2 linked regions of the Anolis sagrei genome follow. The protein of the gene in region 1 interacts with the protein of each later gene in a pairwise test. Links are inferred from orthologs where the notes say so. Each region holds a gene or a part of one and is shown on either strand. Other genes may lie near its edges.

Region 1 (8,073 bases):
TGGCAACAGAATTACCTGAGCTTGAAGAATCGCTCAAGGAGCCTGGCCGAGGCGGCGGCGGCAAACCTGACTTCAGGAACAGAAGAGGGGGCGGAGGGGGCTCTAATTTCAGAAATGGAAGACGCGGTGGTGACTCGAACAGGCGTGACAGATTCAGAAACAGGGGCCAAAAACGAAACTTTTGACCGGGCTTTTTTGATCATTTGCAACTGTCAAATATAAAGGATGTTTTAACAACAGTAAAAATTGATTTACACTTTCCTTATGTGTTTTCTTTTTTATTAGTTTGGTTTTGTCTGGTTGCAAAACTCATGTTGACAAATATTAGGATTGGCGTTTCATTGCTGCTGTGTCTTCAAGTCATTTCTGACCTAGCAAGATTTGTTTAGATGAGACAGATAATATGACTTGCATAGTGCATTTCCTGGGCAAGGAGGAATTTGAACCCTGTTATCCAGTCATAATCCGGTGCTCAAGCCATTACACCACACCAGGTCACTAGCATAATAAACCAAGACCGAACCTAGTGCTGCTACAGTTACCACATTTGCTACAAGCTCTTATAGTAATACATTTAGAACAGGGGTCCTCAAACTAAGGCCCGAGGGCCGGATGTGGCCCTCCAAGGTCATTTACCTGGCCCTCACTCAGGGTCAGCCTAAGTCTGAAATGACTTGAAAGCACACAACAACAACAATCCGATCTCATTTGCCAAAAGCAGACTCACACCTCCCACTGAAATGCCAGAAGGTCATGGGGGACCTTGTTGAAAGCCTTACTGAAATCCAGATATGCTACATTCATGGCATTCCCTGCACCTACCCAGTTTGTAACTCTGTTGGAGGTGATTTTTGAGCTGAGGTATTTAATCTGGTGAGTTTGCCGAGGTCTTACATTTATATTGATGGAGAAGTTGTGGGAGGGGTTGCAGACCACATGATCCGCTCTGGAACCAGCAGTGTACAGACTTTTTCGGGACCACACAGATTGCAGACTTGCAAACATTTGCCTGCTGTTTATTATAAGAGATGTTCTTCTGGAAGGGACTGCCTGATGAAGACCAAAGAAGGCACGGAGTTGGCTTTGCTATGTACTGTTTTTGAGATGTTGAGCCAAAGTCCAAGATTTGCAATTTCCTTTTGCACACTTGCACCACCACTATGTACAAAAATAATTGTTGGCCCTCTGTATCTTCTTCCATCCTCTTCTAGCAATTGGTTTATCTATAAGTGTGACGATGTGTAAGTTTTATTTCTTTGGTTATGTGTAGTTTGCATAGTGGTTTAGGGATGGTAAGTATGGGAGATTATGTTTTGTTGGAGATGGTGGCTTGGCGTTAGCTAAGTTGCCGTAGCAACAGGGGCGGAGCCAACTGCCTCTTCAGGAGGCAGCTGTTTTAAAAAGTCAGTCAGTGGCCGGAGAGCTACTGAGAGGACTGAGTCTCTAGGTGGAGATTCAGGAAAAGTGTCTGTAACCGGTGTGCTATAGGAAAGACTGAATCTCAGGGTGGGGATTCAGGGAATCAATTGGTGACCAAAGTGGTTGCAGAGAAGGACCCGGTAGTGAGAGAGCTACAGGGGGTTGTTGATTCTGAATTAAGAATCAAGGTTTGGCTAGGTTTAAGCCTGCTGTGCCTGCTGTGAAACGTTTTGAAGTCTGTGCCTGAGATTACTTATGAAACCTTTCCAATGTAACCATCAAGATTTGTGCCTCTCTTGAAGAAACAGTTAAACATGTTATACTCCTGTTAAAATAAACTTGTTACTGTTCTCCTCAAGCCTTGCCTCATACAATTTCTCCTAAGTTGAACAGCCTGCAATAGTAAAGTCAAGCCAGGAAAGTAAACGCTACGCTATCAAATAAATAAAGCCTTCTGTAATTAACAGTCCCTTTATAAAATAGCTCCTAGGTTGATATTGAGCGTTGCCTGGCTTCCCTCATAGATTAGGTGGCAGTGGGTGTTTTACCACTCGCACCTTCACATTTGGTGGCATTCGGTGGCATTAAAACGGTCTCCTTTACAATAAGCTTGTTGCTTATAGATATTGTATGTATGCTCTGATATGCAACTTTCTTTCCTTGCTCTATGTTTCTCCTGAGAAGTTGTGGGAGGGGCTGCAGACCACATGATCCGCTCTGGAACCAGCAGAGTACAGACTTTTTAGACTTTGGGACCACACAGATTGCAGACATGCAAACACCTGCCTACTGTTTGTTGGAAGAGAGATGTTCTTCTGGAAGAGCCTGACTGATTAAGACTAAAGAATGCACGGAGTTGGCTTTGCTATCAGAAATGACCTGGTGAAACATCTGACCGAAGCACCCACTGGCATCAATGAACGACTCTCAACCCTCCGAACTGAATTTGCCAAAAACCAACAGGCAACCATCATAAGTGCCTATGCACTAACACTAGATGCTGATTAAAACATCAAGGAAAAATTTTACTGTCAGCTGAACACCGTCCTATCAGAGATACCTAAGGAGGACAAAATCATCCTCCTGAGGAATTTTAATGCAAAAGTCGGGCAAGACTTCGACCTGTGGCCAGGGATCATAGAAAAAGACGGGGTTGGAAACAGCAACTCGAATGGCATTGTGTGGAACACAACCTTGTCATCACCAACATGCTCTTCCACCAGAAAAACAAGTTCAAGACATCATGGAAGCACCCCCGGTCAAAGCATTGGCACCTCTTAGACTACGTAATCACACGGGCCAGAAACGGCTGTGACATGCTTCTCATAAGAGCCATGACAGGTGCTGACGACTGCTGGACAGACCACAGGCTAATCCAATCCACGATGGCTATCAAGATGGCCCCCAAGCGCAGACTCCAAGGAAGAAAGACACGGTGCTAAATGAACACCCAAGTCCTTCAGAAGCCCTCCAAACGAGCTCATCTCCAAACAGCACTCAAGAACCATCTACCCACAGAACACCCTGAAAATGTTGAGGAACGTTGGAACAAACTGAAGACCTCCATCATCACAGCCTGCGAAGAAACTACTGGATATCAAACCAGGAAACATCAAGATTGGTTTGACGAAAATGACGAGATCCAACAGCTAACTTGACAAGAAAAGGAAAGCCTTCCAAACATGGCAGAGAGATATCAACTGTGCTACTAAGAAAAAGATCTACGTTAGTGCAAAAGCTGAGGTCCAAAGGACAAGAGAACTCAATAACATCTGGTGGAGAAAGAAGGCTGAAGGAATCCAACACCTGGCAGATACCCATAATGCCAAAAAGAAAAATGGGTTACCCTGAAACTATGGAGACCAAAACCCACTGATTGTGGTAATATGAAAATAACTAAATTAACTCAATGTATATATTACAAATACACATATTAAAAAAAACTGCCACATTCACATTAAGTAGAAACAACTGGTTATGAAAGACGCCCAGCGGCCACATCATGAGAAGAAGGAAGAAGGGAAAGCTTAGAGAAAACAATAGAATTATAGAATCCTAGAGTTGGAAAAAAACCTCATGGGTCATCCAGTCCAACCCCCTGCCAAGAAGCAGGAATATTGCATTCAAAGCACCTCTGACAGATGGCCATCCAGCCTCTGTTTAAAAACCTCCAAAGAAGGAGCCTCCACCACACTCCAGGGCAGAGAGTTCCACTGATGAACAGCTCTCCCAGTCAGGAAGTTCTTCCTCGTGTTCAGGTGGAATCTCCTTTCTTGTAGTTTGAAGCCATTGTTCTGCGTCCTAGTTTCCAGGGAAGCAGAAAACAAGCTTGCTCCCTCCTCCCTGTGGCTTCCTCTCACATATTTATACATGGCTATCATGTCTCCTCTCAGCCTTCTCTTCTTCAGGCTAAACATGCCCAGCTCCTTAAGCTGCTCCTCACAGGGCTTGTTCTCCAGACAATGATGCTGGGGAATATGGAAGGAAAAAGGAAGAGGGGTCGACCAAAGGCAAGATGGATGGATGGGATCCTTGAATAGACTGACTTGACCTTGAAGGAGCTGGGGGTGGTGATGGCCCCACATTCCAGCTTGATATTATCAAGCTGGAATGTGTCCAGAGGAGGGCAACTAGAATGATCAAGGGTCTGGAGAACTGGATAACGAACCCTATGAGGAGCGGCTTAAGGAGCTGGATGGCCATCTGTCAGGGGTGATTTGAATGCAATGTTCCTGCTTCTTGTCAGGGGGTTGGACTGGATGGCCCATGAGGTCTCTTCCAACTCTTTGATTCTAACAGGGAGCTCTGGCTTGGGCTGGTCCATGAGGGCAAGATGGATGGATGGCATCCTTGAACTGACTGGCTTGACCTTGAAGGAGCTGGGGGTGGTGACGGCTGACAGGGAGCACTGGCTTGGGCAAGATGGATGGGATCCTTGAATTGACTTGCTTGACCTTGAAGGCGCTGGGGGTGGTGACAGTCGACAGGGAGCTCTGGCTTGGGCTGGTCCATGAGGGCAAGATGGATGGATGGCATCCTTGAACTGACTGGCTTGACCTTGAAGGAGCTGGGGGTGGTGACGGCTGACAGGGAGCTCTGGCTTGGGCTGGTCCATGAGGGCAAGATGGATGGATGGGATCCTTGAACTGACTAGCTTGGCTTTAAAGGAGCTGGGGGTGGTGACGGCCGACAGGGAGCTCTGGCTTGGGCTGGTCCATGAGGGCAAGATGGATGGATGGGATCCTTGAACTGACTAGCTTGGCTTTAAAGGAGCTGGGGGTGGTGACGGCCGACAGGGAGGCTGGTCCATGAGGTTATGAAGAGTCGGAAACGACTAAACGACTGAACAACAACTGAGAAGCGTGGAAGGCGGCTGTAACGGAGGGAAGGGAGCCAAGAGGACGTTCTCTGGCGCGCTCCCTGACTGCGCATGCGCGCCAGTCGACGGTCGGGTTAGAAACCCTGGAGACGCGCTGAGGGAGAGGCGGACAAAATGGCGGCGCCGGCCGAGTGGGCTTCGCTGTGCGAGAAGTTCCGCAACGCCCTCAACCTCTCCTACGTGGAGTCCAAGAAGGACCCGGAGACCGAGCCGTACCGCTCCAAGTACAGCGCCCGGGAGCTGCTCGAAGGCATCAAGCAGTCGCTGGGCTCGGAGGAGGTTGGCGAGGCCGAGGGCGGCCCTGCGGAGGAGGGCGCCGAGGAAGAGCGCATGCGCGCCGCGCGGCTGGCGGCGGTGGAGTACGAGCTGGGAATGAACCACACAGACACGCAGGAACGCTCGGCCGGAGAGGAGCACCTGGCCAAGTGCCTCCAGCTGCTGGAGCGGCACCGCCTCTCGCGAGACTGCGTCTCCCTCTACATCCAGGCCCAGGTGGGACGGGCGGGGGAGGGAGGGAAGAGCGCGGTGGCGTCACTAAGGGCGCGCGTGGTGACGTCACAGAACAACAGAGGGCTGCATTACAGAGGAGGGGGGAGCATACCCAAAAGAGCTTAAAGCACAGAAATGTATTCTATTTTTATATTTAAACAATCTCTGTAGCTGGATTGAGCCACCATCACTTTTTTCATAAGCACACTTTATATGTGCTAAGATTGAATACCCCTTATCTAAAAGGTTTGTGACCAAAATAATAATCTTCAATATAAATAAAAATGTAATGTTAGTTCGTGCTACCAACAGAACTCAGAAATCACTGGGGGAATTGACACCAAATTTGGACACAAGACACCTAACAACCCAATGTATGTCCGGATTCGTAGTTACTGGGATTTATGTTGTTCATTCATTCAGTCGTCTCCGACTCTTCGTGACCTCATGGACCAGCCCATGCCAGAGCTCTCTGTCGGCCGTCACCACCCCCAGCTCCTTCAAGGTCAGTCCAGTCACTTCAAGGATGCCATCCATCCATCTTGCCCTTGGTCGGCCCCTCTTCCTTTTGCCTTCCACTTTCCCCAGCATAATTGTCTTCTCTAGGCTTTGCTGTCTCCTCATGATGTGGCCAAAGTACTTCAACTTTGTCTCTAGTATCCTTCCCTCCAATGAGCAGTCGGGCTTTATTTCCTGGAGGATGGACTGGTTGGATCTTCTCGCAGTCCAAGGCACTCTCAGAACTTTCCTCCAACACCACAGTTTAAAAGAATCTATCTTCTAGGTTCTAGTAGGTTTTTTCGGGCTATAGGGCCATGTTCTAGAGGCATTTCTCCTGACGTTTCGCCTGCATCTATGGCAAGCATCCTCAGAGGTAGTGAGGTCTGTTGGAAATAGGAAAATGGGTTTATATATCTGTGGAATGACTGGGGTGGGGCAAAGAGCTCTCTGCTGAAGCTAGGTGTGAATGTTTCAGCTGACCACCTTCATTAGCATTTGAAGGCCTGGCTGAGCCTGGGAAAATGTTCTGTTAAGAGGTGTTAAGATGTACCTAGTTGTTTCCTCTCTGCTGTTTTGCTGTAGTAATTTTAGAGTTTTTTAATACTGGTAGCCAGATTTTGTTCATTTTCATGGTCTTCTCCTTTCTTTGTACACAGAGAAGCCATTGAAATCCACAAGCATATGGACAATTTCAACAGAAAGGAGGAGACCCTGAAAATGAACAAAATCTGGCTACCAGTATTAAAAATCTCTAAAATTACAAGTGTAGCTTTCATTTTCCACCCCTTGTAGGATTTCATTTTCTTTGTATGATGTCTTTTAAAATAACAATTTAATCTTTCCTTATTTTGCAGAATAATCTGGGTATCCTCTGGTCAGAAAGAGAGGACATTAAGACAGCACAGCCATATTTGGAATCTGCAGAGGCTTTGTATAACCAGTACATGAAAGAGGTAATATGTTGAAATAATTTGCTTTGAGTCTCTTTGGGGAGATAGAGTGGAATATAAATAAAGCTTTATTATTATTTGTGTTTCTGCAGTGTGTCAATTCTTGGATGTGAGAGTAATTGAATTTCTAAGTTCTGGTGTTGATAGGCTGTGGTCATAACATAAGAAGCAAGTTGTCTGGGTGCATGATTGTTGAATTTTGCAACCTAGATAATATGTTGTGAAACTGAGAGCCAGTATCTTTCACTTAGGAGCCATTATTTTAGAAATTTATAATCGTATCTAGTAAATCTATCTAGCACTGTAATTTCATTTTTATGTTACGTTTCAAAATTGCTACAATTTAAGCAAAGGTGTTAAGCCGAAGCTTGTGTCCAAAGTTATCAGAATTTCTATTTAATTTTACTTATATAATAGTAAAGGTAAAGGCTTTCCCCTGACATTAAGTTCAGTCATGTCCGACTCTGGGGGGTGGTGCTCATCTCCATTTCTAAGCCGAAGAGTCAGCGTTGTCTGTAGACACCTCCAAGGTCATGTGGCCGGCATGACTGCATGGAGCGCCCTTACCTTCCCGCCGGAGCGGTACCTATTAATCTACTCACATTTCCATATTTTCATACTGCTAGGTTGGCAGAAGCTAGGGCTGACAGCAAAAGCTCACGCCGCTCCCCGGAAGAGTATAAATACTCCCAAGTAAATAAGGCTGCATTGCTCCGCTGCTCTTGTACAATTGTTATGCTGTTGGTGCAGAATCAGGGTTACTGCTCTGCTTATGCTAAGATAGATAGCTCTGTTTATAGATTAGTCCACTGACCATATCAACAATAACAGACAAAACCAAAAATACACAGACCAATAGACACTAATCACTATGCTGAAACATGAAAGGCACTGCAGACTACTTCAACCAGAGAAGTCAGCCATAGCAGAGCACCTGATGAACCAACCTGGACACAGCATTTTATTTGAGAACACAGAAATGCTGGACCACTCTCACAACCACCATGTCAGACTACACAGAGAAGCCATTGAAATACACAGGCATGTGGACAATTTCAACAGAAAGGAGGAAACCATGAAAATGAACAAAATCTGGCTACCAGTATTAAAAAACTCTAAAATTGCAACAGCACAACAACAGAGAGGAAGCAGGCAGGGACATCTAATTACCTCTCAACAAAAGATTGCTCCAGGCACTGCCAGGCAATCAAATGCTAATCAAGGTGGTCAGTTGAAACATTCACACCTAGCTCCAGCAGAAAAGAGTCCTTTGTCTCACCCTGGTCATTCCACAGATATATAAACCCTTTTTCCTACTTCCAACAGACCTCACTA
Region 2 (7,262 bases), on another chromosome or scaffold:
AGGCCCCTTCGAAGGGCCCTTCCACGCAGCAATATAACCAAGAATGTCAAGGCAGATAATCCACAACATCTGCTTTGAACTGGGTTATCTGAGTCCACACTGCCATATAATCCACATTATCTGCTTTGAACTGGATTATATGAGGCCCCTTCGAAGGGCCCTTCCACGCAGCAATATAACCAAGAATGTCAAGTCAGATAATCCACAACATCTGTTTTGAACTGGGTTATCTGAGTCCACACTGCCATATAATCCACATTATCTGTTTTGAACTGGGTTATCTGAGTCTACACTGCCATATAATCCACATTATCTGCTTTGAACTGGATTATATGAGGCCCCTTCGAAGGGCCCTTCCACGCAGCAATAAAACCCAGAATGTCAAGGCAGATAATCCACAACATCTGCTTTGAACTGGGTTATCTGAGTCCACACTGCCATATAATCCACTTCAGTGCGCATTATATATATATATATATATATATATATATATAGGTTTCTTCTACCCCGCCCTTCTCACCCCGAGGGGACTCAGAGCGGCTTACAAAGGCACAATTCGATGCCAGCATCACATAACAGTAGTAAAATAAAATAACATCAATTAAACAGTTAAAACAGTTGAACAGTTAAACAACAATTCCTGCATTACAATCCTAAAACCAATAAAACAATACAATCCCAATTACTCCTCATAGACGGTCAGCATTCGCTATCTCATAGTCCAATTTCCAATTCCACATTGTCAGTCCTGTCAGTCCTAGTCGTTTGATTGTCCTTATCTAGTTGTCAGATTGCCCAAAGGCCTGGCCCCACAACCACGTCTTTACTTTCCTCCTGAAGGAGAGGAGGGATGTTGACGCCCTAATTTCTCCCAGGAGTGAGTTCCACAGGTGAGAGGCCACCACCGAGAAGGCCCTGCTCCTCAAAGAGGATGTGGATTTTTATTGCAGTTTAGGCCCCCCTGTGTGGAAGGGGCCTAAACTGCAATAAAAATCCACATCCCCTTTGAACTGGATTATATGAGGCCCCTTCCACTGTCATATAAAATCTACATTATCTGCTCTGAACTGGATTATATGAGGGTCCTTCCACACAGCCATTTAACCCAGAATGTCAAGGCAGCTAATCCACAACATCTGCTTTGAACTGGGTGATCTGAGTCCACACTGCCCTATAATCCACTTCAGTGCGAATTTTATATAGCTGAATTTTATAAGGGGCCTAAACTGCAATAAAAATCCACATCCTCTTTGAACTGGATTATATGAGGCTCCTTCGAAGGGCCCTTCCATGCAGCAATATAACCCAGAATATCAAGGCTGATAATCCACAACATCTGCTTTGAACTGAGTCCACACTGCCATATAATCCATTTCAGTGCTGATTTTATATAACTGTGTGGAAAGGGCCTAAACTGCAATAAAAATCCACATCCTCTTTGAACTGGATTATATGAGGCCCCTTCGAAGGGCCCTTCCACTATCATATAAAATCCACATTATCTGCTCTGAGCTGGATTATATGAGGGTCCTTCCATACAGCCATTTAACCCAGAATGTCAAGGCAGATAATCCATAATATCTATTTTGAGCTGGATTATCTGAGTCCACACTGCCATATAATCCAGTTCAATGTGGATTTTATACAGCTGTGTGGAAGGGGATCTTCCACACAGCTCTCTCTCTCTCTCTCTCTCTCTCTATATATATATATATATCTGTCCTGTCAGCAGTGACTTGAGAAACTGCAAGTTGCTTCTGGTGTAAGAGAATTGGCTGTCTGCAATGACGTTGCCCAGGGGACGCCTAGATGATTTGATGTTTTTATCATCCTTGTGGGAGGCTTTTCTCATGTCCCCGCATGAGGAGCTGGAGTTGATAGAGGGAGCTCATCCGCCACTCCCCGGATTCGAACCTGCAACCTGTCGGTCTTCAGTCCTGCCGGCACAAGGGTTTAACCCACAGCCATATGAAAACCATGTTATTTGCTTTGAACTGGATTAGATGAAACCCCTTCCACATTGCCATGTAAAACTGACATTATCTGCTTTGAACTGAATTATCTGCTATAATCTGGTTTGTATGGCAGCGAGGAAGGGACCTCAGTTGCACTCAGATTTCTGGGGATGGGGTGTGGGGGGATTCTGCACAATGCAGTATCCACTTTTATTCTATTTCACCAAAAACTACAAAAAAATCCAGAGATACTTGGATTTGGCATGACATTGTTAATTGTAAGATGAAGTTTTTTCCTCATATTTATGGAGTTTTTATTTCAATTGGCATATTCTGAGAACTTTAATGCAAAAACATAACTTTCTCAGACTCCTTATTAGATCATCTAACCACTGTCCTGGATCATTTTATCATTGCATAACATACTTCATCAAGAAAAGCAAGCATTCCTTCAAAGTCAATAAAACCAGAGTAAAATATATAGAAGTTGTTTTAAAATGCAGGTGAATGATAGAATAAATTGTTTAAATTCCTTTAAAAACAAAAGACAGAAATCCAGATGTGGGAGGAACAGACCTAATCGTTTCTGAATTTCAGGCCAGTTTGAAACAGATTGGCTCCAAATCAGTCCCAGCAGAAAATGAACCATTCTTCAGAGCACTTGAAGTCTGTGTGCATCCCTCACATGCTTACATTTTCTTCAGTGTTTTACTGCAGCATTTACCACTTCATCACATTTACTAAATTCCACTGAGTGCTACACTTAAAATGTGGAAAACGACTGTGTTCATCACATTAGGTTGGTTTCACGTGTAGGATAGAGCATTCTTTACGTATTTTAAGTGTGGGAGCCAGCATTCTTTTCAAATGGTTCAGGAGGTGGTAGAGAAGTAGATTTTTGGTAACGTTCTGGATGTTTGGCCAGTTCTGTAATGTGATGGCATTCATTGCTCTCAGGTTTAAAATGAAATGTTTCCCCAATTTGTGGGAGGGGTAAATTGTGGAGCCAAAAGTTCCCTTGTTAGGGAAAGTTCTGCCAATTGTTTTTGCTTACCGAGTTTTTACTTTGCCAGAAGAATTTCTTTTTTTAAAATAGCCTGTGAAGTCTTGGGAATCATAGTTTTCCAAGATCCATACCTGTCTCTTGGTGCATTTACAATATGGAATGAATGCCCTTGCACTCCACTTTAAATGACAGAAGAGAAGGCTGAGAGGAGATATGATAGCCATGTATAAATATGTGAGAGGAAGCCACAGGGAGGAGGGAGCAAGCTTGTTTTCTGCTTCCCTGGAGACTAGGACGCGGAACAATGGCTTCAAACTACAAGAGAAGAGATTCCATCTGAACATGAGGAAGAACTTCCTGACTGTGAGAGCCATTCAACAGTGGAACTCTCTGCCCTGGAGTGTGGTGGAGGCTCCTTCTTTGGAAGCTTTTAAACAAAGGCTGGATGGCCATCTGTCAGGGGTGATTTGAATGCAATATTCCTGCTTCTTGGCAGGGGGTTGGACTGGATGGCCCATGAGTTCTCTTCCAACTCTTTGATTCTATGATTCTATTACATGGCTCCATGTGATGGCGTCCTCCTGGGAGTTACAGTTTTCCAAGGTCCCAAGGTCCATACCCTTCTCGGTGCATCTACACTGTGGAATGAATGCAGTTGGACCTTACTTTAAATGCCATGACTCCATGAGATGGTCTTGGGAATTGCAGTTTCCCAAGGTCCATGAACCTTTTCTGGGTGCATGTACACTGTGAAATGAATGCAGTTGGACCCCACTTTAAATGCTATGTCTCTGTGAGATGGAGTCCTCCTGGAAGTTATTGTTTCCTGAGGTCTATACCATTCTTTTGGTGCATTTACACTATGGAATGAATGCTCTTGGACCTCAATTTAAATGCCATTGCTCAGTGTGATTGAGTCCTCCTGGGAGTTGCGGTTTCCTGAGGTCCATCCCTTCTCTGGGTGCATCTACACTATTGAATGAATGCAGTTGGTGCCCATACCATAGCTCCATACTATATAGTCCTGGGATATATAGTTTCCAAAGATCCACACCTTTCTCTGTGGAACTTTATGCTTGTGTTTCTGCAGGGACCAGTTTATGCTGTTTTTGTCCTTTTGGGTGAGGTTACAACCACAGGAAGCTGACTTAGCATGCTTTCTTGAAAGGGTAGAAAAGTGAGCGAGAGATGTTTTTGAGCACCATTGAGCACACAATTGGCAAAAGCAAAGAGCGGGAGAGAAAACTCCTGAGAAGAACTGGAGAAAGAGGCTCTGGACAAGTGGACCTCTTGCCTTGTGCTCAATGATGGAAGAAGCCGTGGTGAAGAAGGGCTTCCTCTACATGTACCAGCAGCAGACCTTTGGGAAGGTAAGGCCCAAAGTTGAGGGTTAAGGCTTTTGTTGGGAGTTTCTTAAAGAGATGATGCATTGGGCTCCATCATCCTTTGCTAAGATAGTCACAAAGTTGTGTTGGCTCAAATTCCATGCCTCATGCTGGAATTCATTTTCTTGTAATTGGAATCCATTGGTGATGTTCTAGGGTTCATCTACACAGTAGAATTAATGCAATGGACACCATTTTGATTGCATGGCTCAAGTTTATGGTATCCTAGAAGCCACTCCTACTTGCCACTTTTTGACAGAGAAAGCTAGAAAAACTTGCAAAACCACAACTCCCAGGATTCCATGTTGTCCTCATTGTCTGAGTATGATGGCCTTCTAAATGTAGTGTCTTGGTATTGGATACGTAGGTGACGGTGGAGCCCTATTCTTGATCTGTATGTTCTTCCATATTGAAGGCATCGGTTTCCAGGTGGAAGGCTGTCCCAGTCAGGGTTGGCTTGATGTGCCTTCTGTGGTGGTATGAAAATCATGTATAATTTACGTTTTACCTGTCCGCACACTGTCTTGCCAGAGAAAGAAAAATATGCCACGCAGATGAAGAACAAGAATTTTACTCTTTGTAATGCAGAGCAATATATATACAATCGTGTGAACAGTTGCATTGACTCACACAATGTCATTTGAGAGAGATTCAAATGGCATTTAGGTGTCCATGTAGGAGATCTTTCAGCAGCTCATGAAGCAAGAATTGAAACTGTCTCCTTGCTAGATCCTGCACAGCTGAAGCCTAAAATGTAACTGTTGCCAAAATTCCCAGGCTCAGCTAGTATTTTGGGCATAGCCCACCCAATTGGCTTTGTGCTCTGCATTTTAAGTTAACACACTGATCAACTGATTTTTTACATGCCCCAATACCTTCTTTCTCTTAGCACATTTCTCCCTTTCACCCTCCATTCATGCCTCTTCAAATTCCACAGCACTGCTGGTCACAGCTGACCTCCAGTTAGAGCATTCAAGGGCCAGGGCTTCCCACTTCCCAATGTCTATGCCACGGTTTTTGAGGTTAGCTTTAAGCCCATCTTTAAATCTCTTTTTCTGCCCACCAACATTCCATTTTCCATTCTTGAGTTGGAAGTATAGTAACTGCTTTGGGGGACAGTAATTGGGCATTCAGACAACATGCCAGTCCAGCGGAGTTGATGGCATAAGAGCATCACTTCAATGCTAGTGGTCTTTGCGCCTTCCAGCACGCTGACATTTGTCTGCCTGTCTTCTCGAGAGATTTGCAGTATTTTTCGTAGGCAATGATGATGGAATCGTTCCAGGAGTTGAGTGACATCTGTAGACAGTTCACATTTCACAGATGTATAGCAGGGTTCGGAGGACAATAGCTTTATATTCCATAGCTCTGAGTCATGGTAAAGTGATGTCAAACTGCATTCATTTTACAGTGTAGATGTATTGCGAGTCTTCGGAGTAATAGAAAACAAGCTCACGCCTCTTCAGATATTTAAAGATAACTTGCATGCCATGTCTTCAGTCTCCTCTCCTCCAGTCTGTGAGATGCTGTGTGAACCAAGGGGCATTTCCATGTAGAAACTTGGTTGACTTTTTTGTCTCCCCAGAAATGGCGGAAGTTCTGGGGCGTCTTGTACCGGGGGAGCAGCTGTGCCTCGTCCCGCCTGGAGCTCCTCGGATGCACGCTGCCTCCATCTGCAGGGAAAACCAAGAAGAAGGAGACCAGTAGCCGGCGCCTGATCCACCTGAGAGACTGTGTCTATGTGGCCGAGACAACCAAAGATGACGGCTGCCTTAAGGAGACCACCCCCTTCCTCCTGGAGACCACTGAGAAGTGCTATCTTCTGGCAGCTGAGAGCACCGAGGCAGCAGCCTGGATCCTGGCACTATGTGAACATGCCTTTAAGGTAAGGTGGCAGCTAAGGGGTCGCTTGGCCCACAGAGAATGGAGGGGTGCAAAAAGGAGAAGGGGCATTCTCTCATAGCCTGGAACCACTGAAGACTGACCTCCAAGTAAAAGTGGGTGAAGCTTTGAAAACAGCAAATGAGATTCACAAGCCACTCAAGTCTACCTGTCCAACCCAGAAGGGCTGCTATTCTCTTATGGGCAGTTCCTCAAAGGTAGCCTCTAAAGAGGTGTTGACAATACAGAGAATGCAGCTGGGCTCTCAGGTCAACTAGCCAGGCCCTGGGCAGCTGTCGACTAATAGGAGACCTTCTTCTTCCCCTTGGTTTCCAGAGGAATAGCGAGTTGGAGAAGGACGGACTGGAAGGCAAGCCTCCCTCTTCCCCTTCCCCTTCTTCCCTTTCCATGGTGGAGAATCCTCTGTACAGCCCAACCTGCAAAGGTAGGAGAGGAGGGGCACCAGCGATTGGGGGTTGGAGGGGAGGGTCATAGAGAGGGAAGGGATGTGGGCCATCTCTCTTCAATATCAGGGGTCACGTATTTGATGTCCTGGACCATTGAGCCTCCACCCCAGTGTTCCAAGACAAGGTGCCACCATTTTGGTCAGTTGCTGAGGTCAAAGACCTGACCGATGAGAGACCTCCAAAAACACCCTGGCATCACCATCCATGGCATCCTTACTGGAGTCCTTCCACCTGGAATGGGGTCTCCATCTTTCCCTACTGCTGTCCCTTTTACCAGCCATTGTTGTCTTTCCCATGGGTATCTCATGATATGTAGGAAGTATTATTCTTGTTATTGTTGTGTGCCTTTGAGTAATTTCAAAATCTCTCCCCTCCCTGCCCCTCTCAAAAGTGTGGTTGCAAAGGCCAGGCGTGAGGTGCTGGCCCTCTTTCCTGCCTGAGCCAAGCAATGCTCTTTGGCCAAAGCAGCCCAGAGACCCATCTTTTGCAGCCGACTTCACTTGACCGCTTCCTGCCTTGTGGCTTTACAAGACGAAGCCTCCTCCTGCAGATAAGTGGTGGCCTCTGC

Evidence for each region.
Region 2: the proteins of KIFBP (region 1) and DOK2 interact in a two-hybrid assay, tested with the Homo sapiens proteins (2 studies listed by BioGRID and IntAct). The two-hybrid records come from large-scale screens. The link is inferred for Anolis sagrei from reciprocal best matches to the Homo sapiens genes KIFBP and DOK2.

What each region holds. Positions count from the first base shown.
Region 1 is NC_090023.1:170,884,653-170,892,725, forward strand, and holds the start of KIFBP (KIF-binding protein), read left to right. Parts: upstream 1-4,853; 5' UTR 4,854-4,912; coding exon 4,913-5,290; intron 5,291-6,642; coding exon 6,643-6,741; intron 6,742-8,073. Other genes in the region: DDX21 (nucleolar RNA helicase 2), read left to right, coding at 1-185. UniProt on the Homo sapiens protein: Activator of KIF1B plus-end-directed microtubule motor activity. Required for organization of axonal microtubules, and axonal outgrowth and maintenance during peripheral and central nervous system development.
Region 2 is NC_090027.1:21,571,206-21,578,467, reverse strand, and holds the start of DOK2 (docking protein 2), read left to right. Parts: upstream 1-4,187; 5' UTR 4,188-4,265; coding exon 4,266-4,331; intron 4,332-5,931; coding exon 5,932-6,231; intron 6,232-6,563; coding exon 6,564-6,672; intron 6,673-7,262. UniProt on the Homo sapiens protein: DOK proteins are enzymatically inert adaptor or scaffolding proteins. They provide a docking platform for the assembly of multimolecular signaling complexes. DOK2 may modulate the cellular proliferation induced by IL-4, as well as IL-2 and IL-3.